Sus scrofa: one gene and its partners. The protein of the gene in region 2 purifies or fractionates together with the protein of the main gene of each other region. This does not show direct contact. Links are inferred from orthologs where the notes say so. Each region holds a gene or a part of one and is shown on either strand. Other genes may lie near its edges.

The links. Proteins that work in one complex are often made in the same cells at the same time.
Region 1: the proteins of STK26 (region 2) and SIKE1 purify together in Homo sapiens (affinity purification with mass spectrometry; 4 studies listed by BioGRID and IntAct, with this or other methods). This does not show direct contact. The link is inferred for Sus scrofa from reciprocal best matches to the Homo sapiens genes STK26 and SIKE1.
Region 3: the proteins of STK26 (region 2) and CTTNBP2NL purify together in Homo sapiens (affinity purification with mass spectrometry; 4 studies listed by BioGRID and IntAct, with this or other methods). This does not show direct contact. The link is inferred for Sus scrofa from reciprocal best matches to the Homo sapiens genes STK26 and CTTNBP2NL.
Region 4: the proteins of STK26 (region 2) and SLMAP purify together in Homo sapiens (affinity purification with mass spectrometry; 5 studies listed by BioGRID and IntAct, with this or other methods). This does not show direct contact. The link is inferred for Sus scrofa from reciprocal best matches to the Homo sapiens genes STK26 and SLMAP.
Region 5: the proteins of STK26 (region 2) and CTTNBP2 purify together in Homo sapiens (affinity purification with mass spectrometry; 4 studies listed by BioGRID and IntAct, with this or other methods). This does not show direct contact. The link is inferred for Sus scrofa from reciprocal best matches to the Homo sapiens genes STK26 and CTTNBP2.

What each region holds. Positions count from the first base shown.
Region 1 is NC_010446.5:105,778,080-105,783,800, forward strand, and holds the start of SIKE1 (suppressor of IKBKE 1), read left to right. Parts: upstream 1-1,716; 5' UTR 1,717-1,808; coding exon 1,809-1,967; intron 1,968-2,200; coding exon 2,201-2,306; intron 2,307-3,424; coding exon 3,425-3,567; intron 3,568-5,320; coding exon 5,321-5,434; intron 5,435-5,721.
Region 2 is NC_010461.5:108,234,212-108,239,466, reverse strand, and holds the end of STK26 (serine/threonine-protein kinase 26), read right to left. Parts: intron 4,320-5,255; coding exon 4,226-4,319; intron 3,843-4,225; coding exon 3,780-3,842; intron 3,698-3,779; coding exon 3,561-3,697; intron 2,223-3,560; coding exon 2,198-2,222; 3' UTR 1,798-2,197; downstream 1-1,797. UniProt on the Homo sapiens protein: Serine/threonine-protein kinase that acts as a mediator of cell growth. Modulates apoptosis. In association with STK24 negatively regulates Golgi reorientation in polarized cell migration upon RHO activation.
Region 3 is NC_010446.5:108,008,760-108,014,664, forward strand, and holds the start of CTTNBP2NL (CTTNBP2 N-terminal-like protein), read right to left. Parts: upstream 4,006-5,905; 5' UTR 2,787-4,005; exon of another isoform or gene 2,474-2,786; intron 2,456-2,473; exon of another isoform or gene 1,172-2,455; intron 1-1,171. UniProt on the Homo sapiens protein: Regulates lamellipodial actin dynamics in a CTTN-dependent manner. Associates with core striatin-interacting phosphatase and kinase (STRIPAK) complex to form CTTNBP2NL-STRIPAK complexes.
Region 4 is NC_010455.5:39,570,944-39,576,965, reverse strand, and holds the start of SLMAP (sarcolemmal membrane-associated protein), read right to left. Parts: upstream 4,006-6,022; 5' UTR 3,602-4,005; coding exon 3,404-3,601; intron 1-3,403. UniProt on the Homo sapiens protein: Associates with the striatin-interacting phosphatase and kinase (STRIPAK) core complex, forming the extended (SIKE1:SLMAP)STRIPAK complex.
Region 5 is NC_010460.4:28,128,186-28,134,245, reverse strand, and holds the start of CTTNBP2 (cortactin-binding protein 2), read right to left. Parts: upstream 4,006-6,060; coding exon 3,699-4,005; intron 1-3,698. Other genes in the region: LSM8 homolog, U6 small nuclear RNA associated, read left to right, coding at 4,004-4,034, 5,277-5,317. UniProt on the Homo sapiens protein: Regulates the dendritic spine distribution of CTTN/cortactin in hippocampal neurons, and thus controls dendritic spinogenesis and dendritic spine maintenance.

The sequences.
Region 1 (5,721 bases), on a different chromosome or scaffold from region 2:
AAAATTGAAAAAATAGATAAGCAGAAAATAATGACTCCCTCTTACACACATTAAGATGGCTATTAAAACAACAACAATGACAAGAACAGGGAGCACGCTGCTGGTGAAAATGTAAAATGGTGCAGCCACCATGAAAAACAGTATGGTCAATCCTCAAAAATTTTTAAATAGAACTACCATATACCCCCAGCAATTCCACTTCTGGGTATACATTCAAAAGAACTGAAAGGAAAGACTCAAATGGGAGGCTCATACTGAGTGAAGTAACTCAGAAAGAGAACGACAAATACCATATGATATCATTTATATCTGGAATCTAATATATGGCACAAACTAACCTTTCCACAGAAAAGAAAATCATGGATTTGGAGAACAGACTTGTGGTTGCCAAGGAGGAGGGGGAGGGAGTTGGGATGGATTGGGAACTTGGGGTTAATAGATGCAGACTATTGCCTTTGGAATGGATTAGCAGTGAGATCCTGCCGTGTAGCACTGGGAACTATGTCTAGTCACTTACAATGGAGCATGATAATGTGAGAAAAAAGAATCTATATGTGTAGGTGTAACTGGGTCACCATGCTGTACAGTAGAAAATTGACAGAACACTGTAAACCAGCTATAATGAAAAAAATAAAAATCATTGCATATAAAAAAATCAAATGGGTATTTATTACATGTGTTCATAGCAGCATTATTCACAACAGCCAAAAGGTGGAAACAACCCAAGGGTCCATTAATGGGTGAATGGATGAACAAAACATGATATGTACATAAATATAGATGTAAATATAGATATCAGTTAATATTTTTGTCTTTTTTTTTTGTTTTTTTTTTTTGTCTTTTTGCCTTTTCTAGGGCCACTCCCACAGCATATGGAGGTTCCCAGGCTAGGGGTCTAATCAGGGCTGAGAGACCCTGGCCTAGCCAGAGCCACAGCAACTCGGGATCTGAGCCACGGCTGCGGCATACACCACAGCTCACAGGAACACCGGATCCTTAACCCACTAGGCAAGGCCAGGGATCAAACCCGAAACCTCATGGTTCCTAATCGGATTCGTTAACCACTGCGCCCCGACAGGAACTCCCAATATTTTTCAGTCTTAAATGGAAGGAAATTCTGCTGTACATGCATGAAGCTTGAGGACATTATGCTGAGTGAAATAAACCAGTCACGAAAATGACAGTTATGATTTACATGACTCCATTTATAAGTGGTACCTAAAGTAGTCAAATCCATAGACAGAAAATAGAAGAGTAGTTGCCAGGGGGTAGGAGGAAGGCAGAATAGGAAGTTAAAAATTTGACTGCAGAGTTCCAGTTTTGCAAGATGAAAAGAGTTCTGGAGATAGATGGTGATAACTGCACAATTTGAATGCACTTAATACTACTGAACTATGCTTCAAAAATGGTTAAGATGGTAAATTTCATGCATAATTTACCACAGCTTAAAAAAAGAAAATATTTTTAAAAGAATGACGATAACAATACACATTAATCAAAACCACAAAGGAAAGGAGAAACTTGGACTAGCCCAGCCATAACTCAACTTGACCATCAGGCCTTGCAGGAAGCCAAGGGCGAGGCAAGGGGAGGCCTCCGCCACTGGGCACATATAAAGGCTTCGGGGAAACCGCGGCTTAAAGCGGGTCACCAGCTGACCTGGCTCCACTGCGCAAGCGCTATAGGCCATCACCGAGGCGCCTTTAAACGTACCCGGAAGTGACGTCACTAACGCTGAGACAGGCTCAGGACGGATCTGAGAGGTTCCTACAGCTGACCGGCGCTGGGGCTGTGTTCCTGTGGAGGCTATGAGCTGCACCATCGAGAAGATTCTGACCGATGCTAAGACGCTACTGGAGAGGCTGCGGGAGCACGATGCTGCGGCCGAGTCGCTAGTGGACCAGTCCGCGGCGCTGCACCGGCGGGTGGCCGCTATGCGGGAGGCGGGGACAGCCCTTCCGGACCAGGTCAGGCAGAGGGTAGGGGTCCGTGCCCTCGGGTTCTGGGCACTTTAGGGGTGGAGGGTGAGATAAAGTGGGAACGCGACTTGGAATATATTCCTGGTCCCCGAGGGCAGCGGTGAAACCTTTTTGCGGGGTCGGGGATGAGAATGTTACCCTGGAACACTGCCTCCTGCGTCTTCAGTTGCATTTGCGGCTGTCTTGTTTACGGCGCGATTAGTATGTCTCTGTTTGTCCAGTATCAAGAGGATGCATCCGATATAAAGGACATGTCCAAATACAAACCTCACATTCTGCTCTCCCAAGAGAATACACAGATTAGAGACTTGCAGCAGGAAAACAGAGGTTAGTCAGGCCTTTTTGTGTAGTTATGATTTTCTCATATGCAGTAATATTTAAAGAGTTCTTGCAGAACTGACAAACCATTCATAAAGATACACATGCTGTATTGTCCAAGTCAGTACTTTTAACGGGAAAGTTGTCCTGTGCCGGCCCAGTAGCAATAAAATGTGTTACATTCCCTTTTCAAGGTCATATAACTGATTTTTTATTTACAGGCAGCTCATCAGAAAGGTGTGTAGTAGAGTTGAATACTGCATGGCTTATTAGGTGTCCCCAGATGGAGTTAATATGCTTTGTGTGTGTGTCTTTTTGTCTTTTCTAGGGCCGCACCCACGGCATATGGAGGTTCCCAGGCTAGGGGTCTAATTGGAGCTGTAGCCGCCAGCCTACATCACAGCCACAGCAATACCAGATCTGAGCCACGTCTGCTACCTACACCACAGCTCAGGGCAACCAGATCCTTAACCCTCTGAGCAAGGCCAGGGATCGAACCTGCAACTTCATGGTTCCTAGTTGGATTTGTTAACCACTCAGCCAGGAGAGGAACTCCTGGCGTTAATATCCTTAAGGGCTTAAAATTTAATTTTTAAATAATTGAAATAAACATTAAAGTTAAGATCAAAGGGGTTTTTTTATGTTCTTGTGCAAGGCGGAAGAGCTAAGTTTTATCCTCTGGTGTATATTCTTGGGCTTAATGAATACATTGCTAATGGTAGTAGTATGAATAGCTATTTGTATATCAGTTTTCAGAGGGAATTACATATACCATACACTTGTATTCTCATAGCTTTATTTTGAAGTAAACAAGCCAGGTATTTATTATTACAAGGCAGATAAGAAATAGAGGTTAAATGATTTGCTTTAAGAGTAGTAAGCTAATAACTCAAAGAACTGGACTTAAACTTATGTCTTCCAATTCCACATCCCATGACTCTATCAGTTGATGCTGCTTCTGCCTAGACAGATATTTTTCACATAGTTAAGTTTTGGGGACTTCAACACTGATTTACAACTTTGGATTCCTAATATCCCATGGAATGCCATAAACTTCCAACTGTTTGAGTGTGGCTTTAGGAGGTATCTCTCAGACATCACTGCCAAGTTTTTTTATTTTTTGATAGAGCTATGGGTTTCCTTGGAGGAACACCAGGATGCTTTGGAACTCATCATGAGCAAATACCGGAAACAGATGTTACAATTAATGGTTGCTAAAAAAGCAGTGGATGCTGAACCAGTCCTGAAAGCTCACCAGTCTCACTCTGCAGTAAGAAACTTTTGTGAAAAAATTTTAAGGGAACTGCATTTAAATCTTGAAATTGTTTTGGATTGTGTGTTCACTTTTGAAGAAAACTAAGCTGTTTTCCTTTTGTGTTTTATCACATTTGCTGTTGGTTTTAGTATATCTTTGTAAAGATATGAATAAGAAGACTGGGGAAGGTAACATTGTTAATCAACTGTACTTTAATAAAAAAAATTTTTAAAGTAAAAAAAGGTGGGTAAAGAGCTGCTCAGGGCCTTTTATTTGAGTAATTCCAAAGTTCCTCCCTCCCTCACTGAGATCTTGTTTCAAGATGTTAATGAATGCTTCGTTCTTCTACCAGACAGAATGCCAGTTAATGTTGAAGGGGCTCAGTAAATACTTGAGTGGTTATTATTGTATATTTCACTAGACTTTAAGCTCTTTGGTTGTAAGGAGCTTGAATTCCATCTATTATCTCTAACATGGTACCTGGCACATAGCAGGCAGTCTGTAAACTATACAACATCAGTATCTATACTTTAGTTACTTATGATTTAATTTGGGAGACCCAGTAATTATTCTGTTTTCTTAACATTTTCATTTTTTCTGTTATAGTTGATTTACACAGTACTTGCTCATAAGTTTGTGGAGTGTTTCACAGTTCTCATTGTATATTCACATGTACTATATCATTTAATACATGATATAGTATGTATTACTATATCTCACTCTTTGCTGCAGTGGAATTTCTGGAAGATAAGTTTCATCTTAGATTCCACTGAAAACATTTTACTGACTTTAGTTAAAAAACTCAGAGGAAATGGGTGTTTTGGGGGGGTTGTTTTTTTGTTTGTTTGTTTGTCTTTTTGCCTTTTTTAGAGCTGCTCCTGTGGCATATGGAGGTTCCCAGGCTAGGGGTTGAATTGGAGCTGTAGCCACCAGCCTACACCAGAGCCACAGCAACACGGGATCCAAGCTGCATCTGCGACCTACACCACAGCTCAGGGCAATGCCAAATCCTTACCCCACTGAGCAAGGCCAGGGATCGAACCCTCATCCTCATGGTTCCTAGTCAGATTCGTTAATCACTGAGCCACAACGGGAACTCTGAAAATAGGTATTTTAAATATGCAAATGGCTTTCATCTGGACAAAATAATAATCTGTAATCCAGAAGCAAAAACTTGAACCTTGAAGGAGACAGAATTTAGTTTATATTAAAAACTTGCTGGGAGTTCCCTTTGTGGCTTAGGGGTTAACAAACTCAACTAGGATTCATGAGGATGTGGGTTCGATCCTTGGCCTCACTCGGCATTGCTGTGGCTCTGGTGTAGCTTGGCAGCTGAAGCTCCGATTGGACCCCTAGCCTGGGAATTTCCATATGCCGTGGGTGCAAGCCTAAAAAGCCAAAAACAAAGCAAAACAAAACTTGCTAAGAGATGTGACCAAAGATACAATAAGATACCTTGGAATGTGGTAAGTTTGGTGCCAATAAAAATATTTGAATTTAAGTTAAATAGCCATTTAGAGATACTCTCCAACATGCAATGAGTGTTTAGACCAGAATCGATTTTCTGGAAACAAATTACCTGTGAATATCACAAGGTAACTTTATTGTGGCTTTATCTCTGAGGACTGAGATTATAGTGAAACTTCTGTGTAAGCTCTGTAACATAGATTAAGTGAACTTTTAACATCATAGTGCACATGTTCTCATGAACTTCCTATCTGTAAAAAAAGATGACTTTTCCACCTTTTTTTTTTTAATATCATCACAGGAAATTGAGAGTCAGATTGACAGAATCTGTGAAATGGGAGAAGTGATGAGGAAAGCAGTTCAGATGGATGATGACCAATTTTGTAAGATTCAGGAAAAACTAGCACAATTAGAGGTAAAATTGTTGCTATTTTAGGTTCACAATATTTTTTGTTGTTATTGTTTGGTGGGGGTTTGGGTTGTTGGAGATTTGTGTGTGTGTTGTTTTTGTGTGTGTGTGTGTGTGTCTTTTTGCCTTTTCTAGGGCCGCTTCCTAGAGGTTCCCAGGCTAGAGGTCTAATCAGAGCTGTAGCCAATGACCTACCTCACAGCCACAGCAGTGTGGGATCCGAGCTGCGTCTGCAACCTACACCACAGCTCACGGCAATGCCGGATCATTAACCCACTGAGCAAGGCCAGGGA
Region 2 (5,255 bases):
AATGATTCTGTCAGGACAGCAGGCAGAAATCAGGACAGATGTTCACTGGAGCCATAATCAATGCTTAATAAAAATTTGAAGGGAGTTCCCATTATGGCGCAGCAGAAATGAATCCGACTAGGAACCATGAGGTTGGCAGGTTCCATCCTCGGCCTCGCTCAGTGGGTTAAGGATCTGGCACTGCCGTGAGCTGTGGTGTAGGTCGCAGACTCAGCTTTAGCTCCAATTCAACCCCTAGCCTGGGAACCTCCCTATGCTGCGGGGGCGGACCTAAAAAGCAAAAAAAAAAAAAGACTATCTTCCAGTTTCCAATGGAGACACTGGTGTTAAAGTTCCAACAATAAATTAAAGGGCCAAGGAGAAATAATTTGAAAAAATTAAAATGTGATACCATGCCCCACCTCAAGAAAAATGCCGAGGACCATGAAATTTAAATATTTATTTTTAGCCCCCCAAAACACTGAAGTACGCTTCACCCAGAAACAGTTTACAGGACTAATAGCTCTAATGAATAAGCAATACAATTTTTTATCCATGATGCAGTTGCGCTGTAAAGTTTCAAATTATCAATTTAAAAATTTGTTGCTTTTACTTTTACAAAAATATTCATTTAGTACACGATGTGATTTGCAAAACTATTACCAGACCTCTACAAATTATAAACTGCAATTACATAGCGTTACACAGCAGCTGAAAATTTTAACTGAACTATTACTTCAAAATACGTGTTAAAAGTAATTGTTACAGTATAGGCACCAATGCAAAAATCTGCTGGGCATATGACGCGCAATGAACTACTTATTCAAGTGTCTGCATTATTACAAAAAAAGGAGGAGGTAATGGCCACTGTAAAAACTATACTCTTTACTTCAAGAACACCTTTCTTCTAATATTTGGCAATTATTCAGATGTATTAAAATGACTTTTGTGCAAAAACCAAATTGTGCAGATCCAAACAATAAAACATTAACTATTAAAACTAATCAATATCAATAATTCTACAACTACTGAAATATAGCCCCACTTCAGAACTTAGGCAAGCATAATATATATACTGGGCTTAAAGGAAAAAGGTATTACCCACGTAACAGTACCATAAATATAACTGAAAATTTAACTGTACAGTCTAACTTACCTTTGTGCGGGCAGAAATCATCCTGTACTATGATTATTTTCATGTGAATCAAAAAATGCTTAAATACCCTTTCAAAAATGAACAAATGATGCTTACATGTACTGGATAGTTTGAAGAACAAAAAAAAAATGTATAAATAGTTTATAAGACATTTTACTACCATGCCAAAAATATGCTGGTGTAAATTATAGTCATACCTGTTGATCAGGTATTTATGATCACATTATGATCAGCTTCTTTTGAGCTCCCCAAATCCAAGCATATGATATGTGATTTGAGGTGATTTTAAAAATGAATCCTGACTAGTTCTTCCAGTATTACTAAAAAACCCATCCTCGGCTAATTGGTATTGCTTTAACTTTCCAACGTGTTAACTTAAAGAAGGGTCAATTGCCTCTTCTAAAAGAGAAGGTAAATACTGCACACCAAGAGGTACCTCTGTTGCTACATGTTGCCTATAAATGCTTCCAACACCGGGCTCTCCAATGTGATTGTCACTGAGCTGCCTGGAATACCATCAACTTGGTAGAAGAGTCAATACCTTTCCAGATGTCATTTCTAAAAGCTTATCAAAAAAACTTCTGTTTTAAGAATGTCTGACTTGTCTCCACCTCCCTTCCAAGAGTCATTTTTAGAATATGCTTGTGTTAAAAAAAAAAAGCTTTTTGAAGCTTGATGACTTACGAAAGTTGAATATTTAGGATGACTGTGAAATACCTGTATGTTTCATGAGTGTACAGTTAACTAAAGATCAAAACATGAAAGGTATTCATCCTAGTAACTTAAGTAATAATGATACCTAAAAGCAAAACTGTATCTCAACCTTTTCTAGAATACAGCTGAAACTATAGTATTAAAAGTTATTTCTTACAAAATAATCTCTTTAAAATATAAAATGATAAACACCATCACAAAATAGTTGAATAGCTTCTTTCAAATCTTCAATGTCGCAAAGATCCAAAAGGCACATGGAGCTCATGAGTTAAGCATTGTTAAGCTTGAAGTAGCTTTGGTGGGTTTCTCTGGGTCCATATGAAAGAGAAGCCAATAACAAGACATTTCTTAGGGGGATTCATCTGCTGAACACCTATAAAATTAAGAAAAACTTAAATTGATATATAACTATGCATGTGCACATTTTTCATTCATATGAACTCTGCAATCGAGTTGATGCAGCAAACAATTTTTTTTTCTATTGCCTCTCATCATGTAGACATTAAAATAGAAAGGAGTTCCAAAATCCCTTCTGCGTCCGATTTTACAACTTGCAACTGATTCGTTTGCAAGCTGGCGAAGAGAGGGCAGGTTTTCCATTAAAAACGAAAGGATTTTAAGAGGGGCTTTAGCTGATGAGTACAAACAGACTTTATCAGCAAGAAAGATCTAGGAGAGTATGTGGTTTACAGGCTGTCTGGTCTGTTCCAACTTGATCCCAGTGGCATCACAAATACAAAGAAGTGATATAACGAGATTAAGGCTGAGATTAGTACTGCTCTATAACTTGCTTGAGCTAAGGAATTGCGTGTGTTTGTACATGCATACAAAAGTCTTGTTTAAAAAGAGAATTAAAAAATTAAATGGAAGAACTTCACTGAATGTGAACAAAATTAAACCAACACTTTAAGAGGCACTATAGACACTGAAATATAGACATGAGAACCTTTCAGAGTCTTCACTGAGTTTCTATACCTAAAATTCTTTCCTTAACTTTTCTTATGGGGGTTAAACTTGATGAACTTTGGCACTGAAACTATGTGAATAGCAGTGCGATAAGAAGAGTGGCAAGAATGAAAGCATTTCTAAATGGTATTTACAAGGGTCCAAATAAGATCATGCCCTGTGACCTTTTGTCTATACGCCTGCCTACGAACAGGGAAAGGAAAACAAAACAAAACAAAACCAAAAAAAACCACAGGCCATTTCATTCAGTGGCAAACTACCTTGTACTGCCCGAAGAGAAGAATCCAAAAGCTAGTGTTGAAGATGGGCCACAAACAGAACAGGTTTCAAGTATGTGACTATTAAGAATGGACTTGGTTAGGAATAATCGAAATGACTGAATCAAGTAGGTAATTATGACACCATAAATGAACATCCAGCAGTAACATGTCAAAATAGTTGTTTTGTTCTTTTGTTTCCTTTTGCTTTTATTGGGGGCTGTACCCGTGGCATGTGGAAGTTCCCAGGCTAGGGGCAGAACTGGAGCTGCAGCTGCCGGCCTATGCCACGGCCACAGCAACCATGTCAGATCCAAGCCATTATCTGTGACCTATGCCACAGCTTGTGGCAACGCTGGATCCTTAGCCCACTGAGCGAGGCTAGGGATCAAATCTGCATCCTCAGTGACACTGTCGGGTTCTTAACCCGCTGAGCTACAGTGGTAACGCTCCAAAATCGATTTTAAAAAATGACATTTCAAGCTTACTTTTGAAATTTTTCAATTAATTTCTTCACCATTTTATCTGTGATGCCAGGACAGGCAGCTTCGGCCACGGCAATGCTTTTCTCTAGTTCTTCAATTGCCTGATTCCTGCTAGCATTATTCTCATCCTGCTGTTTAAGCTGAGAAAGATCAATAATTATAACATTTACAATTACTATACTTCTTCAAATAGATCTCCAAAGCTAATGAATCTGTACTTACTTCAGCAAATGCAGGTGTGATTATCATAGACAAACAGCTCAGGGTTTGCACAAGATCTTGCTCCTTTGAACAAATGTTATAAATTATATACATGAAATGAAAATAATCATTCATGTGTGTTAATTTGCATCCCTCCCCCCAAAGACCCAATGTAAGGCAAGTCTTCATGCTTTCTTCCCATCAATAACTCCCATCTATATCATCCAGAGGCCTCTAACTTCTAGGATTCCAACTGATAGACCTGTTTCCACCGGGTTTAGCTATCTCTAGGGAAAATGCATTTTAAAACATACCAATGGCCACTTAAAAGACTTCTCTGATCATTTCTTAATTAGCTCAAAACTAACGGACAGGCATTCAGGGGTATTCGATTCTAACAATGTTTGGCCATCATAATCGCACTATCTAGTCCTAACAAGAGGAGGTGAACATCTGGATATACATACTGCCCCGTTCTGTAGCTTCTTTGGATCAGGCTTCTTTCGCACGGTGGTAAAGCTCCATTCGGGATGAGTATTATTTTCCCTGGTGGTGGATTCCCTAAAGAGATGGCCAAAGATACTTCCATAAGTTCCTAAATGGTATAGGTGGTGAAAATACCAAGTCAATGCTGTCAGATTCTGAATGGAAAACTGTCCCGATGTGTTAAAAAATCATTTGATCTTCAGCTTCAAGTCGACACTACTTTCTACGGGACAGCAGCAGTGGTTCTCAACTCTAAAGTGTGTACCAGAATCACATGTGAAGACCTCTAACTCCATAATATAAAGGCCGGCCCCCACCCCTTCCCACTGACTGGATCAGGATCCCCTGTAGTGTGGCTTAGTGATTTGTTTTTTTTTTTTTTTAAGGCTTCATGGGTGAGTGTCATGGGCAGCTAAGGCAACAGAGAGTAGAACAGGGTACAAAAAACCATCCTCATTTTTTTTTTTTCTTTTTAAGCCATTGCACAGCACATACACTTCCTGGGCCAGGTATCAGATTTGAGCCGTGGGTATTAGCAATGCCGGATGCTTAACCCACTGTGCCAGGTTCCCAATCCCTCTGTGCCACAGTGGGAACCCCTATCCTGATCTTTTTTTTTTTATCCTTTTCAAAAGTTGGGAGATTTCTCATAAATGCAGGTATTATCTAAAAAAAATTGGTGTTACCTCGGTATCAGTTCACCCAGTGGAGGAATAAATGCTGGTGTAGCCGGCAGACTTTTTAGGCTGAATTAAGTAAGTTATGGACTTAGAGGCTAAAATGGTAATGTAAATTGCTGCAGCTAAAAAACAATGCAACATTTTAGGGGATAGAAATCAGATATAAATAAGTATGTACCAATCTGACCATTTTGGTACATGGCCAAGAAAAGTGGGAAAAGTTAGTTCTCCAGAGGGATTTTGCAGGTTGCCTCCAAAGTATGAGAAGACATAGCTCCGTATCACTTTGGGCAAACTAAGAAAACACCTTAAATTGAATCTTGTTCCAAAA
Region 3 (5,905 bases), on a different chromosome or scaffold from region 2:
ATCCGTTAAAAAAAAAAATCTAAAAGTAGATCAGTAATGTGTCAAAACCAAACACTCAGAAATCATTCTTAAACAAAAACCAGTTCCTAGTGTGCTCTTCATTCTTCTCAGGTCAAATTCTTAGAAAAATTAAATCCTAAAATAACTAGCAGTGATTACCCTAATCAGTCTGATTCAGATTTCATGACAACAAAATTATATATCTATCCAGCAGATATTTTCTTACACAAAATTCAGTATTTTAGAGTCACTTAAAATATTAGAGTTTCAAAAGATAGCAGATAGGAAAAATAAAGTTAAATCAAGGCAAAAAGAAATGGATTGTTTATATTAACAAATGTACCATATATTATCAGTAAATTATCTTTCTAGTCTACCCTAAGGTGTCAGCTTCAAACTAAGTTCAACAAACACTTATTTTATTTTGCTTTTTAGGGCCGCACCCTCTGCATATGGAAGTTCCCAGGCTAGGGGTTGAAATGAAGCTACAGCTGCTGCCCTACACCACAGCCACAGCAACGCAGGACCTGAGCCACATCTGCGAGCTATACCACAGCTCACGGCAACGCCGGATCCTTAACCCACTGAGTGAGGCCAGGGATGGAACCTGCATCCTCATAGATCCTAATCGGGTTCGTTAACTGCTGAGCTACGAAAGGAATTCCCAAAGAATTTATAATTTAATGAGATAGATTAGACGTAGACATAAAAAAATCTTCACGTACTATGCTTTTCAACACCAAACAGGTGTTAAAAAAGCTAAAAAAAAGACTTCCAAGATCCAAACGTGTGTCAAACGGATCTTGTTTATTGTGCCAAGTAAGTCAAAGAGCATTATTTGCTTTTCCCTCTGGGCTCATCAAGGCTCAGGCAGTCATTACAACTTTGGCTTCCTTAGTCTCTTACCTTAGTTTTTTTCTGTTCTCTGCTCATGTAATGAGATATATCTTTTTGGGATTTCCTGTTCTGCTTTTAGTTTTTTCTGCTGCATATTGCTGGGGGCCCACATCCTACCCTCCTATCACAGTAGACTTTGTGTCTACTGGAGAGAGCCTCCGCAGTGTCTTCTTTGAGCCTTTTTACTGGAGATCTGGAAACAATCACTGAGCAGATCTGTGGGCACCAAGACTGGCTCTGAAAACTTCGAACCTAACTATTCAGAATTAATTACCTTTAGGAGGTCTACCTTCACAAAGTCTCATCAGGAAGGTAGAGGACAGTCCTCTGTGATTCTAACTCCTTGCATCCCACTCAGTATCTTTGGCTGAAGATAACAGCAGAAGACTTCAAATTAAAAGCGAAAGAAGCAACGCTAACAAATATGGCAAATTTTAATATTTGAAAGTGCTAGCAACAGATGATTACTGGGGATTCAATGGTATTAACATTAGGCCAAAACCATCAATATTCTTCTGCACCTCACAAAATGAAGGCCTTTATGAGCACCCTACAGAGACACTTTTTGGTAGTCATGTGTGTGAATAGCCAGAGTTTACCTTGCTTTTCTTTATCCTTGTCTCTAAGATTTAAAATTTACTTTCAATTTTCATCCCCTGAATTTTGGTAGAAGATACTGGTCTTAGAAGATCAATCAACAGCTCTCTCCCTACATATATATCGGTATCACCTGGAAGGAAAAACCTACCATAAAATCAGGACTAAGGACTAACCAAAGGCCACTGGACCAGATTAATCATAAACCTAGACCACTGAACCTGAATTTTTTTCAAACACTTCCTGCCTTTTGTTTCAAAGGAATTATACCTTCAAGGTTAACTGCAGTCTCCCTGAGCAACAGAGGAGCCCACCCTAGACTGGGAGATACTCATTCCTAATGTAAAGTTCTTTATTTACTTATCTGTACTGTTTCACTTGAAAGCATGCCGTTATTCACTGACAGTCCAACAATATACACTTGCATTCCTAGGCACACAGGGCCAACCCCGTAGATACCCAACACGCCCACCTCACTTTGAAACACAATAAGGATGGTTTTTCAAGATCTCAGGGAAGAAGTAGGGTGTAAAGCAAAAATGAAACAACTCAAACCTAAAAAAATCCCTTAGAGGTTCGGTTCTCCCTCAAAGAATAGAGAGTAAAGGTACAAAGGGGGTGGGGAAGATTCCTATTTCTCCTCCCTCCAGAATCTAAAAAAGTCTCGAAACAGGTGAGCCCTCGCCAAGAGAGAAAAGAGGACCCAAGGGGCTTCGGAGGAAGGCTGAGGATCAGAGAATGGGGGATGGGAAGAACCCAGGTTGGGGAAGGCTGATTTCGTCCCTGGAGCTGGATGTCTAGGTCGGGTCTTTGATTTTTACTTCGACCTCTCTCTTTTTTGAAAACACTGATTTTTATCTTACGGATGAAAGGAGCTCTGGTCCCACCACAGTGGGCAGGGACAGGTGTAGGAAGGGAATGTCTGTCTTTCCCGGGGTACAAAATGGGGGTGGGAGGCGGCAGACTACGGAATACGAACCTGTATGTCCTCTTCCAAGGTTGAGGAGCTGGGCGAGGGGGGCCTTAAATGGGGGACTTGTCAGAAGGGCAGCCCCTTCTGGGGAGTTGGGATTGAAGGGGGACAATAAGTAGCTGCGAGCACCCACGAAGGATGAGGAGCTGCCTCCTCTGGGAATACCGGGAGGTAGAGGAGACCGCCCCGCCCCCTCAAGGGATGGGCGCGAGTGGCATTTGGGACGGTGGCGGGAGGACTCCAGTGGTCCTACCCTTGCTCTTCTCTCGAGAATCCGGACTCCCAGCCACCGCCAAGCCCCAGCACCAGTGGCTCCTACCTTTTCCCTGCGCTCTGGACTCGGCTCCCGGCCGCCTCCGCCAGCCGCTGCATCCACTGCCCCCGGAGGCCCCGCCCCTCAACCGCCAGGCGGGGGCATTGGCATTCCGCAGGGCCAGTCGTCTCCTCGTCTCTTCAGCCCCCGCACCAATCCGAGTCGGCTGGAGGCGGGGCTTCTCCAATGTCATTTACGCTCCTCCCGGGGCCCCTGGATCCCTTTTGTTTGGGGAGAGCCAAGCTGGGATTGAGTGCGCGTCATTTCCGGGAGGAAGCGCCGTTCTCCGGCCGGGGCTCCCGGGTGGGCTCGCGCCTCTCCCCGCCGGGCTTCTGCAACTTTCCTCCTTCGATGCGGCTCCTGAACAGGACTGTGGCTAGTGTTTACCGTCGTGGTACGGGAAGCTTAGGAAAGGCCGGTTTCCGGTGCCCTGATTGATCGGGCATATTAATGTTTCATTTCATCCAAAATGTTAATAAGTGAAGTGTGCTTTAGTGTCTATTTTAGAAATAATTGTTGAAAACCTGGTAACATGGCTTGCCTGCTCTTTTTTTCCTTGGATGAGCTTCTGCTAGAAGCAAGGACGCAAAGATGCAAAACCCGGAGGACCATCCCCCCCACTTCTCTTTTCACATTACTTTTAGAAGAGAATAGTAGCTCTGGACCCCTCCGGGCGGGGAGCCGGGACACGGGTGGCTCCGGAAGAGCACAAACCCGGCCCGACCTGCCTTCCAGGTGGGGGTGGAACGAATAAAATCTGGTTGTCTAGGTTTTCTTGTGTCCCTGGCCCCAGTACACCCCGGGCTAGGGCTTTTGCAGTGGCGTTGGGACAAAGAACAGTAGAGGATGCAAGGAATGTCTGTCCCTTGCGAACACAGAAATGCAGATCTTGCTGGTGGCAGCAAGCCCTACCAGGACCAAATAATCCAGAGAGGGGAGAGGATGCATCCCTTCCTGAGGTCAAGGTTTCTGGATTCATTTTCCACTTCACAGATTGATTCAATGACCTGTTATTTTTAGGTATAATGTAATAAATACTTACAATATGATGCATAAATAGTGTAAATTTTAATAATATTATTCTAATCTTCACAGTTCTTATTAAGCAAAACAGTATTAGGGGTCAGGTACTCACCCAGGCAGACTGCTTCAAGCCAGATGCAGCCCTGTCCTCAAGCAGTTTACAGTCTAGTGGAGGGATGTGGTCAGTCTGTGTGATCAAGAGGGAAGACTGAAGAAAATAAACCAATATTAGTGTCATCACTGTGCCAGTTACTTTCACATAATGGTATCTTATTTAATCTTCACTACCATATGAAAAATATTTCCTAACCTGTAAGATAGATAGCACTCTGTCCATTTTACAGATGAGATAATAGAGATTCAGAGAAATCAAGTAAAGCCATAGAGGTAGTAAATGGTAAATAATTTCCAACAAGGATCAGTGAACTATGCTACATTCTGCACATCTGCTCCTATAAGGAGGACTGGTCCAGAGAGTGGATGGCTAAAAACAGCATTGGAGACAGAAAAAAGCTCCTTCCCTCCCCCTGTTGACTGTAGGCTTGAGAGGATCATCTCTATATAAGAAGGACAAAAAGACCGTACTGAGGTGCTCAACAGCAGCCCAAGTGCTTTTGAAGTAACAAAGTAGGATGTAGAGAACTTCAGAAGAGCATCATTCTCCGTATGCAGGAGACTGACAATCTGAAAGGCAAGATGAAGGGCCAGGAACACAGTAGGTGCTCAATACATACTGACTTCACTTGAAACAAAATGTCCGGAATGGTTAAAAACAGAGTTTAAGTGCTGGACTAGGCCCACGAATTTGAAAAATCCCATTTCCTCCTCCTCCCCTTTGCCCTGCGTTATGGGTGTGCAATGAGGAAGTGCTTCATTGCCTGACAATGAGGCAGATGTGGGAGAACAGGCTATTTTCTGCTGGCTTCTGAGTGAGTCACTCTAAGTTGTCCCAGTGAATCAGCTCCTCCCTCCTGCCCCTCCTTCCCTTTGTTAACCTACCACCACCCAGCTCTACTCCCAGGCTGACCTGGTGCCTACTTCCTTTATAGCAGCTCCCTTGACTCCCTGAGCTCCCACATGTCCATTCCTGAGTGTGGGAGGACCCAGCCAAAATGAGATCATCCTTGCTTTGTCGGATTCAGTGTCCTAAGGGTATTCAGATTGCTCTCCTTTTAATTTATCACCTCTGGAGCTGGTGAAAGAAGCAGGTCTTGTGAACTTGAAGTTTTGTGATGCTTCAAATATATAAAATGTGTGCATAAATTTAGAGTGTGGTACAAAGGTGTACACAGAGGTTGAAAGTGGGTTTGTAATATTTTAAATTTGTATAACAACATATCATTTTAAACATACCATTTGAATTTAATTTTTAAAAATGGAGGAGTTCCCGTCGTGGCGCAGTGGTTAACGAATCCGACTAGGAACCGTGAGGTTGCGGGTTCGGTCCCTGCCCTTGCTCAGTGGGTTAACGATCTGGCATTGTTGTGAGCTGTGGTGTAGGTTGCAGACGCGGCCCCCCCCGCGTTGCTGTGGCTCTGGCGTAGGCCGGTGGCTACAGCTCCGATTCAACCCCTAGCCTGGGAACCTCCATATGCTGCGGGAGTGGCCCAAGAAATAGCAACAACAACAACAACAACAACAACAACAGACAAAAGACAAAAAAAAAAAAAAAAATGGAAATATAGTTGACTTACAATGTCGTGGTGTTAGTTTCAGGTATACAGCACAGTGATTCAGTTATACATATATGTATATATATGCACGTATATACATTTGTGTGTGTATATATATATATTCTTTTTCAGATTCTTTTCTCTTAAAGTTTATTACAAAGTATTAAGTATAGTTCCCTGTGCTTGTTGTCCTTATTGGCTATTTATTTTCTATCACAACTTAGCATTTTTATGTCTATTATTTTATCAATGTGGCAGTAAGTATTTATTAGATGCCTACTGTGTGTCTGGTAACAATTTATTAAGAAGTGCTAAAGATTATAGAGTGTGTTAATTTTTCTCCAAATTGGTAAACTTCCTAGGTAGGTGTACCTAAATGTTTATGGTTGGTTTGGGGAGGAAATGGTGGAGTATAAGTGCTTTAGACTG
Region 4 (6,022 bases), on a different chromosome or scaffold from region 2:
CCTCCAAAAAGGAGTGAAGCATTATTTGGGGAAAGCTTATGAAATTCCACTTTGTAACAAACCTGTTAACATCCAGCATGCAATTTTTAAGTACTGTGAACTCAGCATTAAAAGTGTTACCTCGGAGTTCCCATTGTGGTGCAGGGGTTAACGAATCCGACTAGGAACCATGAGGTTGCGGGTTCGGTCCCTGCCCTTGCTCAGTGGGTTAACGATCCGGCGTTGCCGTGAGCTGTGGTGTAGGCTGCAGATGCGGCTCGGATCCCGCGTTGCTGTGGCTCTGGTGTAGGCCGGTGGCTACAGCTCCGATTCGACCCCTAGCCTGGGAACCTCCATATGCTGCGGGAGCGGCCCAAGAAGTGGCAAAAAGACAAAAAAAAAAAAAAAAAAAGTGTTACCTCGATTTCCCCCTGCCTACACTTTGCAAATTTCCTATAATATACATGTATTACAAGAATAATCAGAAAATTTTAAGTGTGATTTCTTCCAGCTTCTATTGGTCCTCCCTTAATAGCAGAATGCAACATTCACAAACTGAAGGTCAAACAAAAGGGCATATTGCCATAATTTTCCACCTCCCAGGTAAGGTGCCAATGTGGACAAGGTTCTCAACTTCACATGTTTAAATTTAAAAAATAACTTCCACATATATCATCACATGAAAGATAATAATGTCTCATTACCCTCCTTACATTCCATAGCACTACAAAAAATTGCAAAGAGCTCCCTAGATAGTTTCTTCTTCCCCCCACCCCAAACACCCTCTTCTCCAAGGACTGACCCCTTAATAAGGGCCGGGAACAGGGTGCTAAGTGATTTACATGATTATCTCAATCCTGGAAACAATAAAAGATACTATTTTCATCCCCAGAAAATTGAGGTTTAAAGATGTCTAGGGGAAAAAAAACAAAAACCTGCCTAAGGCGATGCTTATAGGAGGAGATTCTAGTATTGTACAAAGGAATTTGCTATGAATATACATTAGTTCCTAGGGACTTTTGTTATAACAAATTCTCATACTGGAAATTTTACACAGAGAAAACAATAAATGATATTTGGTCAAACTATCAATTTTCTTTGTAACTGTGTACCTTACCATTATCTGACACATAACAGACGCTCAATTAAAACCTAGCATCTGTTCAAATCTAAAGTTTAAACAGTTAATTCCTAAAACAATTTAATCCCATGGCTAGATCTGACAGGCTATTTGTTTTAAGTAGATTAGGTGGTTTAATAATCAATAATTATATCTATACCTCAAGTAAAGGCCCCTACATCCTAAATGTATTTTACTAATAAAGCAAGAGGTGGGAAAGTTCAAATGGTAGAAATAAGCTGTGTATCTTTTAAAGATCAAGTTTGCTAACAACAAATTCAATTCAAAACTTGTCATCTCAATTATACAATAAAACCACTCTTTTTTTTTTTTTTTTTTTTTAGGGCCGCACCTGCAGCGTATGGAAGTACCCAGGCTTGAAGGTGAATCAGAGCTGCAGCTGCTGGCCTACGCCACAGCCACAGCCCACAGCCATTCCAGACCTAAGCCGCATCTGCAACCTAAACCACAGCTCACAGCAATACCGGATCCTTAATTCACTGAGTGAGCATGGGGATGGAACCCATATCCTCATGGATACTAGTAGGGTTCAGTAAGCCACGGAGCCACAACTGGAATTCCCAATAAACACTCATTATTAATCTATTCTTAGTTACTGTAAAAATAACCAAATGTGAGAGTTTTAGTATAACCATGAAAAGCACTGTATATAGCCGCTATTTTTCAAATAAGTAAAAGAAAAAAATCTAAGCCTCCTTTAAGTATTAAACCAAAGGCAAGAAGGTGTATTTGCTATGTACTTCAAGCAAAATTAGTATCTGATTAGGTTGGCCCTTAACTCTTGCCCAGGGACATAAAATGAAAAAATATGAAAGCTAGTTAAGGCACTAGCAGTTAACTAATGTTTGAATTTACTATAAAGATGAATTATTTAAATTACTACAGGTAATCTATGAGGAAAAAGGGGTATGTTCCACAGATAAATGAGCAAATCGTGTTATACTTTAACATACTTTTCAGTTCTCATCATATGTACAGAGTAAGACATAGCTATTACACAGGCACATGGCACTTGAGCAATCTTTTCCTCCTTTCTTTGAAAAAAATGATTTATATAACAATTCCTTAATTCAGTAGCAACAGAAGTATTGCTTTCTCTCTTCCCTGTGAGGCTCAGGGTTTTTTTTTTTTTTTTTTTTTTTTCAAAATACTACTCTTCTAAAAGAACACTTAAATTCTTCTCTTAAAAAGGATTTAATCATTCAACTCAGAGGGACCAAAAAGTCAGGAGGTGAAACCCGAGATATTCTTATTAGTCTTACATAACTTACTCTAAGTTGGAACTGATTCAGTAGCTTAACTAAAGTTAGGTTTTAGGACAAAGATGAGCTCTTTAGTATACTCTCCACACACACAGATAGGTTTAAAAAATCAAAAGGGTCTTAGTTAACTTTTTTCTTGTATCCTTAAAATATAAGCACCCCATGTATAGTTAATCAGGGTGCCAACATAAAAATGCTAAAATGGTCACACTTATAATGAAGAACACTAAATTTATCCTATCACATCTAGGTAATGCAAAAATCAACAGAACTGGATATAATTTCAAAAAATAAATTTTAACACTGACTTTTAAATATCACCTCTATAAGTATGCATTAGGTGTTTTTAATAAATGCTGCAGGGAACATCAAAAAGTGATCCTCAAAAGCAATTGGTATATGTTCACCTAACTTACAAACAAAATTCTGAAACTATAAAGTTACAATTGTTCATACTTAAATTGGCTTTGCAAATTACTCCCTTGTAGGTAAATACGTATCAAATCTTTCAAAAATGTAAATTTACACAAACAATGTCCTTGCTAGAAAGACCCTGCTCTGAACTCAACTCAAAGACACTGTGTTAACTGCATTTCACCATTGAGACACTTGAGCCCCTGTGTAATACTGGCCATGGATTCCCTGCATTGCTTTGGGAACTGCTACTTGCTTCATCAAGTACTGAAGTGCAAATTCACCTTTCTTAAAAGACTAAAAGCGAGAAGCCAAGTTTCACTATCTAGTTTTCTAAAACAAATTAGGGTTTGGGATTTCACTGGGAATGACCATATTATCAAGATGTCATCGCCCTCTCAGGGTGTTAAATTACAATACCTTCTCTGTTTTCCATTCAACCACCTCAAACAAATTTCCACTAGAACCAGTCACACAAAAAGTTGGTTCTCCATGGCCTTGCTGAAAGTGTCCTCTGGGTGCAAGCCCTGGGATCCTGCATACATTTATGCAGAAAGGGCAAAGAGAAACGAAAAACAAAGATTGTTAGACAACGTAGTGACATTACCTTGCCCGTCTTGTGATCAAACCAGACGAGAGCATGGTTCCTTGACAGCACTTTGCAATCAAAGGTAGCATTATTCTGTGCTGGTCGACAACGGGCCACCGAGCGGCCGATTTTAATGGGCTCGTCCAGGTAGACATGACGCTCTTGAAAAGGGTGTGAGTTCGGGCGGCAAGTGAAGATGGCCAAGGCTGACGGCATCGAGGACAGACTGGGGGTGTCTCTCCTACTAGGGACAAAGAGGAGGTCCACCGGATCCGGACCCTTCACAAGCCTCTACCCCTATCCCCCACCAAATTTTAAATTAAAACAAACTGCACATTGTCCAAGCATAACCAGTGAACATCAACAACTCTTCACTTGGGTGGGAAGACGAGTCAGCGCAAGCCCCATCACCTCCTTTAAAACCCAGCAGTGCCCTGATCACACCAAGTCCCCAACTGGTAGCTTTCAGTCCATCTTCTTCCCTGGGAAGAAAAGGCTCAAACATTGGACAGCTTCGGCCAAGAAAACTCCTGGAAGACAGTTTGGGGACTGGAGGTATCCAAGCAGATGAGTCACACGCCAATTCTTGGGTTTTGTTTGGGATCGCGGCCGCTTTCCCCCCTCGGTGGCGGAAATGTTGCAGCACTGCAGCATGAAGGAAGGGTCGGTTCGTTGCGGCCAGAAAGGTCCTTTCAGGCGGAAGAAAGGTGTAGCTGAGCACCTCTGGGCAGCCACCGCCCGTCTTCGAGGGCCTCCGGACTGGAGGGACGAGAGGCGATGGGGCCAGCGCAGGGGTCTAGACGGCCAGCCGGACAGTCTGCATTGCCCCTCCCGCGAAGGCCGGCCGGGAGGTGGCACAGGGTCCCCGGCCCCGCACGAGACGAGGTGGCGGTGGCTGGAGTCCCTGGCACGAGGAACGGGGACCGGCGGGAGCTAGGGCAGCGGCCAAGGCGGGACTCCGGGCACCTGGCGGGCGTCCCCGCGACCAGGGCGGGGATCCGGCTCAGCAGGCGGGTGGTGACCGAGCGAGGCGCGACCCCGGGGAGGATCCGGGGTCTCGGCCCGCAGGAAGTTGGTCCCTGGACTCCTGGGCTCCTGGCTGCTCCTCAGCACACCGGCCACCTCCTTTCAGAGTCTCTCCCGCGAGGGTCGCATCTCAGGGACCGCAGCTGAAGCTCCCGACGGACGAGGAGGTGGGGGAGGGAGGCTGGCCCGGAGGTTGGGGGAGAGGCCTGGAGGCCCCGGGTTGGGTCCGCCGCAGCCTCCACCGCTCGCAGCCGGTGGGACAAGCTCAGGCTCTGCCCGACGACAGAAACTTTCCGACCTGGTGGGGAAAACATCAAAACAAACGGCCGTCAGCGCCGGTGCCCGCCCACCTCAGCCCTCAACCCCCTCAGCCCACCCCAACCAGCCCCCGCGACTGGCCACGACTCGGCCGACCTTTCCGCTGAGGGGCCGCGGGGACTGGGAGCCCGGACGCCAAGACGGGTCCAGCTTCTCTTACCGCCGCCGCCGCCTCAGCTTACCTTGCCAGCTCCGGCCGCCATAGTGACTCTGACTGAAACCTACCCGGTGCACCGCCACGGGAACGCGCACCCTTCAAGGGCCCTCCTACCCCTTCTCCCGCGCCGTAGTCGGGGCATCACGTGACAGACGCCGCGGAAGCCATGATGGTCAAGGGCAGAAAAGAGGGCAAGCCTTTTTAACAAGCCTCCGCACGCCATCTTAGTTAAGGGTTGGACGCTTCAAAACCGTGGGACACCTTTGCCACCATTTTGGTTATGGGCAAGAAAAAATTTGACCTGTTGAAGGTTTTCTAAACATAACGTGCCAACTTCCTACTTTGCCATCTTGGTAAGAAGGCGCTAGCATTTACTAAATTTTATTCACTAGAGTCCTCATTGAAAATATCAACGCCCAAGGAGACCAAGCCCATCCAAAGGAGCTGTTATTAGCATCCATCTTAGTTGTGGGCAGCACAGCTCCCCGACCTCCACCCCAACAGCCGCCTTAGGTGTGAACAACTAAATTCCTACAAGTCTCAGGATTTGTGCATCTGTAACAAGATTCATCCGCCCTCTTTAAAGTCTTCGCTATGTATCCTACCCGGAGGAAAAACTCTTTCTTAGTCCTTGCGTTCCATTTCAAATGACAATTCTTCTCACTGGGCCTATCTTATTTCCCAGGCCCCTAGCGCTGACTCTACCCCGAAATTAGTGCAACTTCTGAAAGTTTAAAATCATGTTTTTCCAGAGAGAGAGGTCCTTTGGAATCAATGATGGCGTCATTCTTCAGATTCCTTTGACAACAGGCTCCACCACTCTGTGACCTTGGGGAAGTTTCTAAACCTCTACGAGCTTCGTTTTGTCATCTATTACTTGGAGATAATAGTTAACGCACCTGTTGTGAGAATTCAAGGGAGTAATCTATCTGCTCATGAAAGAGTAAATACTATTCAATTCTTACATACAGGGTTTTGGCCCTGTTCTAAGTTCTGTGCTGGGCCCTGAAGACACATAGATGAACCAAATCTCAATCCTTGCCCTCTGAGAGTATACCTGGGTATTGTGAGATAAGGATAGGGAGAGGAGGGTTTCAAATAGAGATAACTTCACTTTGATGCAATCAGGGCTAAGA
Region 5 (6,060 bases), on a different chromosome or scaffold from region 2:
AGGGTTGTACCCGCAGCATATGGAGGTTCCCTGGCTAGGAATCCAGTTGGAGCTATAGCTGCTGGCCACAGCCACAGCTACAGCCACATCAGATCCAAGCCATGTCCACGACCTACACCACAGCCTACATCAAGCCAGATCCTTAACCCACTTAGCGAGGCCAGGGATCGAACCCGCAACCCCATGGTTCCTAATCAGATTCGTTCCACTGCGCCACAACAGGAACTCCTATAAGATTTTATTAATATGCATTATCTCTTATAAATGAAACAGTGGACCTACTGAGATAGGTTGGTTCTCCAGACCTTTAAGGTATTGTGTATGCCACTGACAGTGTGACCAGTCTGTTCGGTGGCCTCACCACTGGCTGGTGCACAGTGTCAGACCTACACAGTTCTACAATTTGGCCCCATCTTCTTTATTAACAAGCACCCCTGTCTTTTCCTGTATCTCCCTACTCTGGCCATTCTTCCAATTCACCAACCACTATCACTAGGCAGTCTGTGATTTGCTTTCTGCCTCCCTGCCTTTCTTACTCACTATCTTTGAATCAAATGTCTTCTGCCTTTCCACTCCCACTGCTACAAATCAGAAACTCATACCTGGAGTCTTGCTAGCCTTAACCTCAATTCTTACCTCCACCAAATAATTAATGTCTGATTAATTTTCCTGAAGTTAATTTGTACTTTTACTCAAGCCCCAATTTGTCTTACCTTTTTCATAAAATGTTACAAGATTCTAACATATATCCATCTTCCTCTTCCTTAAGCAATTAAAATGTGTAGTACTCAATTTGTCCAATCAGAAAAAAAGGCAGTGAACAAAATATTGTTAACAGAACAAGCTTCGGGACTGAGAAATGGGTTAACTGTGATATGGTCTATGTCCATGAGCAATAATAACTGAAATTTATAGAGTGCTTATAATATGCCAGGCTTTACCAAAACACTTTTAGTCCCCCCAAAATTTGATGATGTAAGTACCATCATTTCTCCATTTTACAGATGGGGAAGCTGAGGCAAGAAGGTTAAATAATCCACTCAAAATCACATAGGATCCAAATCTAAAGAGGCTAGCTCCTAAATCAGTGTTCTTAATTATGATCCTATACACTTCTCAATTAGCATTTCAGTTACATTTGATTTTTTCCATCCCTTAAAAAACTGAGTTAAAAATGCCTATCTTAATACCTTAAAAGGAAAAATAGATATAGATGAGAAAAACACTTTGTAACTCATAGTGTTAAATCAACTAATATTTCCAAATCAATTACCTTTCTTTATAATTTGGGATGTTTATTATTTTTCCATACACTAATTATTTTGTGTTTATAATTAAAGCTCTGCATCTATTCAGGAATTTCCTTGTAAGGAGAGATCAGAATTTATTTATGTCCTTTTCTGCCTTGGAGAAGCCTAGAAAGATTTATTCAATGTATACTGCTATTTGGTTGACAATTTTGGAACCTGTAGAAATACAAATCAATAAAAATAAAAGTAAAAAGTTCCTATCATATTAGGTTAAAAGTAGAATTTTAATTTTCCATTTATCATTTTTTCCCATGAACCATTCACAGGAAAGTGCAAATTCAGTTTTCTGAGAATCTAGTATGAATCTGATTCTTCAGGTTAATGAAATACAGGATACAAAGGGAGATGAGTTACGTCCTGCTTCTCAGGGGAATTATTAACCAGAGAGAGACACATTTTATATCCATTAGTTTCTACTAATGGAAAGTGACTCCAAGAATGTCAGTTATCTAGGAAACTCCTTTCTACCCTTTCCCATCTCTTTTCTGCCCTATTCTTGATTGTTGTTTTAGATATAGGCAGCTGTATTTACTACTGAGATAGAGATTCCTGACTGGGTTGAGAGATATATAAAATATTGAGTTCATTTAAATCTTAAGAGAACTAAATACAAAATAAAATTTAGTTTTCTGCTCAAAGTTTAGATTTAGAACTAATGGAATAAAAGTGCTTTATTAACAAAATAAAAAGCATTCCAACATACTCTGACTCTTTAACAGTATTTAAATGAGTAGTACATTGATTTTGATTTAAGTTCCAAATTTTACCTCTGTTTAACTTTTCAATTGTCAGATATTTACATAAATTATTTCCCTCTGTTGGAGCTTTAACTTATTTCTCTATTTTAAGGTGCTGATTTCTCTAAGTCCATGTATTCCCAAAGTCACAAGGCTAATTTAGTTAAATCACATATGTAATGTCTGTAGCCAGACATAACTCATTTTTTTTTGTCTTATTTTTTTCTTTTCTTTATCCACAGGCTTTCTCTCCACATCTGTAATCATTAGGGACTACAAAAAACATGGTATTAAAATGTGTGTAAAAAAATTTCAAATAAAAGAGATTTGGGGATGCTCCATAAACACCACACATCTGTTATTTATCTGGCATATTATTAATTTAATGGAAACTACATAAGGTCATAAACTTGTAATGCACTGATGATGAAATTACTTCTGTAAATCACTATCTATTTTAGCAAACATTTTCAATATAAACACATTCTATGAAAAACTACATGTATTACTCATTTTAAATATTTGGCATGTTACTTTTTAAAAACTCCTTACTAATCATCTCATTTATCACTAATTTTCTTTTAGTTCAATGTCGAACATCTGCAAACCACACAATAGCTTCATTTTTTTAATTTATGGAAGCTATTCACCACCACCCAAAAAATCCTAAGACACTCACAACCTAACTGCTGAGTATATGTGATTTCAAAACAGGTCAGAGTAAGTTTCAGTACATAAAATACTAAACATTGGGGAGTGATCGGTATGCTGTAATGAAAACAGATGCTTGCCTTTTCAGAAGAAAACTGCTGACACTGCAAGAGTTTTCAAATCCACAATTTTTCAGTTAAAAAAATCACAAGCCTAACTGTAATCATAAGGCGCTTTTGTAAAAAGGGCAAATAACTCTCACTGGTATTTTGTATATAGATAGATGCTTTTCTAACTTCAAGTTGAAATTAGGGTTCCACAGTAAAATAAGAGTGAAACTTTCTAATAACATTGAAATATCCAAAATGATGGCTGTGGCAGCATCTAAGGCAACTGAGGGCCAAATGAGTTGCTGTTACTCGTGCCAGGATACCCACAGTTTTGTTACCACCGCATAACTAGGCCGTTTGGTGCTTATCTAGAAGACCCTTCCTGAATCAGTCCTTTCCAGGGTGCTGCAGCGAACCTGTCTTAGAGTAACTAATTTCACCCTGAGGGTAGGGAGACCTTGCCGCGCGGTAAAAGGCTGCTTTCTAAGGGAGACTCACACACTTTTCTGTTTGTTTCTTAAATAAAAGAATAACAACGCTTCCACGACGGAGCACTTCTAGAGGCAAACGCAGACTATGCGAGCATGCTTTTTATTGCTGTGTTCTCCAGACATGTATACCGTACGGTTACAACGTGTGCAACTTTGCTCTGGGCCATTTAGCTTCTAAAAGGTTAATTTTCGACCTGTGCGGCAGAAAATCAGATTCCACTTCCCCGCGTAGACATCTCATACCAGAACAGCACTCATCTATTTCGCCTGTGATGAAAACACCTTATCCCGTTTTCTCCTGCCTTCTCTGTCTTCAACATTTCTCCCCAGCAACTTCGGCCACAAAGCCTTCCAGTCCGCTAGTAAACCCGCTCGCCCACCGTCTCCTCACTACCCCACCTGCAGGAAGCTGCTGCTTCTCTTCCGCCTCCCCTTCGCTTCGGTCCCTTTCGGCTTCCGAGATCACCGCCCTGAAACCAGCAGCAACATACTGCGCACGCGCAGTAAAATGCCTATCGCTTTGCCTCTCGGGTACGGTCGGTTGGCCGGTTTCTTTCCATCTCTGATTCGCGGAGGCTGCTGCGCAGTAACTCTCGCGGTATTTGCGCCGCCCGTCGGCGGGAGCCGCCGCTGGTTCCTGGCGGGCGCTTTTAGCTTCTGTAGTCACCCTCCCTGCTGTGTGGCCAGCGGCCCGGCCGAACATCATGACGTCCGCCTTGGAGAACTACATCAACCGTATCCTCGAACTACCCGCCGCGGGTTTTAGGTGGGGCAGTGGCGAGGCCGGTGTCTGCGCTGAAAGGCCGGGGGTGGGGGTCGGCGGGAGGTTGGGACGCTTCGGGGCCCGGGATGCGGGTGCGGGGATTAAGGATCTGGGACCCACCAATCCCCCCGCTGGGGCTGGAAACCATCGTTTCTGCGAGTCCAAGGTGTCTTCTAATTTTAATCTGAAAAAAATACACCAACGTGGTTATTCCGAACTTTTCCTTGTCTCCATAGAAATCAGCTATTGATTCAACTTTACTATGTTTCCTAGGGTCTATACGGTATAAGATGAACGGTTTTACTAGCGGTGGCGATGGTCTTATAAATCCATGTATTTGTTTTATGCATAGGCTTTGCTAATCGATCGAGGATAGCAAAAAAAAAAAAAAAAAAAAAACCCAAAAAACCTTTACATATTGTGCACAAACTAAGTTTCTGCCCTTTTACCACTTGAAAATTTAACTTCTTTGTTGATGGAATTGAAATGATGTTTGCTGTCGTGATGGGTCGTTATGAGGGGCAGGTAACTTTAAAAAGTCTGAGTGAAGTACACTGTACCCCTGTTACCGTTTTAAGTCTCAGGACAGAAACACTATGTTGTGCTCTCATGTACAAATTTGGGACAAAAGTGAAATGCTAAATGCTTTTAATGATGCAAGCATATTAATATCAATGATGACACTGATTGTAGCTTTTCTTTTGAATCCCAGAAGCCAAGTCCTAAAAGACTGCCTTAAGGTGCTTGAAATTCAGGATTGATTAGTTAGCCTTGATCCAATTTTTGTTTTATAGACGAAGAAACAGATCTAAGAAAGGGAGAAATATCTTTCCCAGTTGCCAGACTGGCAATATTCCTCAACTTAAAAAAAAAAAACAACAAAAACCAAACAAACAAAAACAACACCCCAGCTGTTTTAAGATCAAATAGACTGATCATGTACAGAAAGGGACGCTCTTTTTCCATATTTTTCTAATTGTGTAATTGTCACAAAGAATTGAACAACGTAAAGTATTCAACACAGCAACAGATTTGTACATGAGAGCAAATGTGTTGAATAGTTGTATCTTAATTCTGTCACCTTTTTTTTCTAGTAATTTAAATAGTTGTATTTTAATTCTGTCACCTTTTTTCCTAGTAATTTAAACCATTGTCAAATGTAAAATTTTCACTTTGCCTTCCCTGAGAAACACTTTCCTTGATTCAGTTATCAGGAACTGTTGCTGTCATTACTTCTGATGGGAGAATGATTGTGGTAAGTATTTGGCCTATTCCTTCTCTGCTTTCTTCTGGGTTTATCGGTTGTAGATTTTTATGTAGAACCTCTGATCTCTAATACCTAGGCATCACAGTACAATTTCATTGCAGTTTTCTTGTGATTCAGGTCTTTATCTCCGACAAAGAACAGCCTGTCCTTTTTTTTTTCACCAGTAAACATTGAGTGTAAGTTACATACAAGGATTCTAGAGGCTAGGATGAATAATAGACTCTGTCTTCAGGGAGCTTCTAGTCTAGTCAGCAGGTATCTGCCTGTATTTTGTATTTATCTTCCTCTTTCATCCTTTATTTCCTTCCCCATTCAGTGATGTAACATTCACTAAATTGTAGAAATTTCTTTGAAATTTTGTGTATATCTCCTAGAAACTTTTTAAAGTATTTTTTAGACACTACATCTATAAAATAAATGTTAGGACTTGTATGATGTTGGAGTTCCCATTGTGTCTCAGCAAGTTAAGAATGCGACTGGTCTTGGTGAGGATGCTGTTTGATCCCTGGCCTCACTCAGTGGGTTAAGGATCCAGCATTGCCACAAGCTGCAGCAAGGCCTCAGCTGCAGTTCCAATTCAACCCCTAGCTTGGCCCTTCCATATGCCACGGGTGCTGCCATAAAAAAGAAAAAAAAGACTTGTGTGGTGTTAATACTCTTTAGATGTTCTTAGGTTGTATGACTTCTTGTCTTCTATAGAATTGTAGAATACAGTAGGATGAATGGCTAAA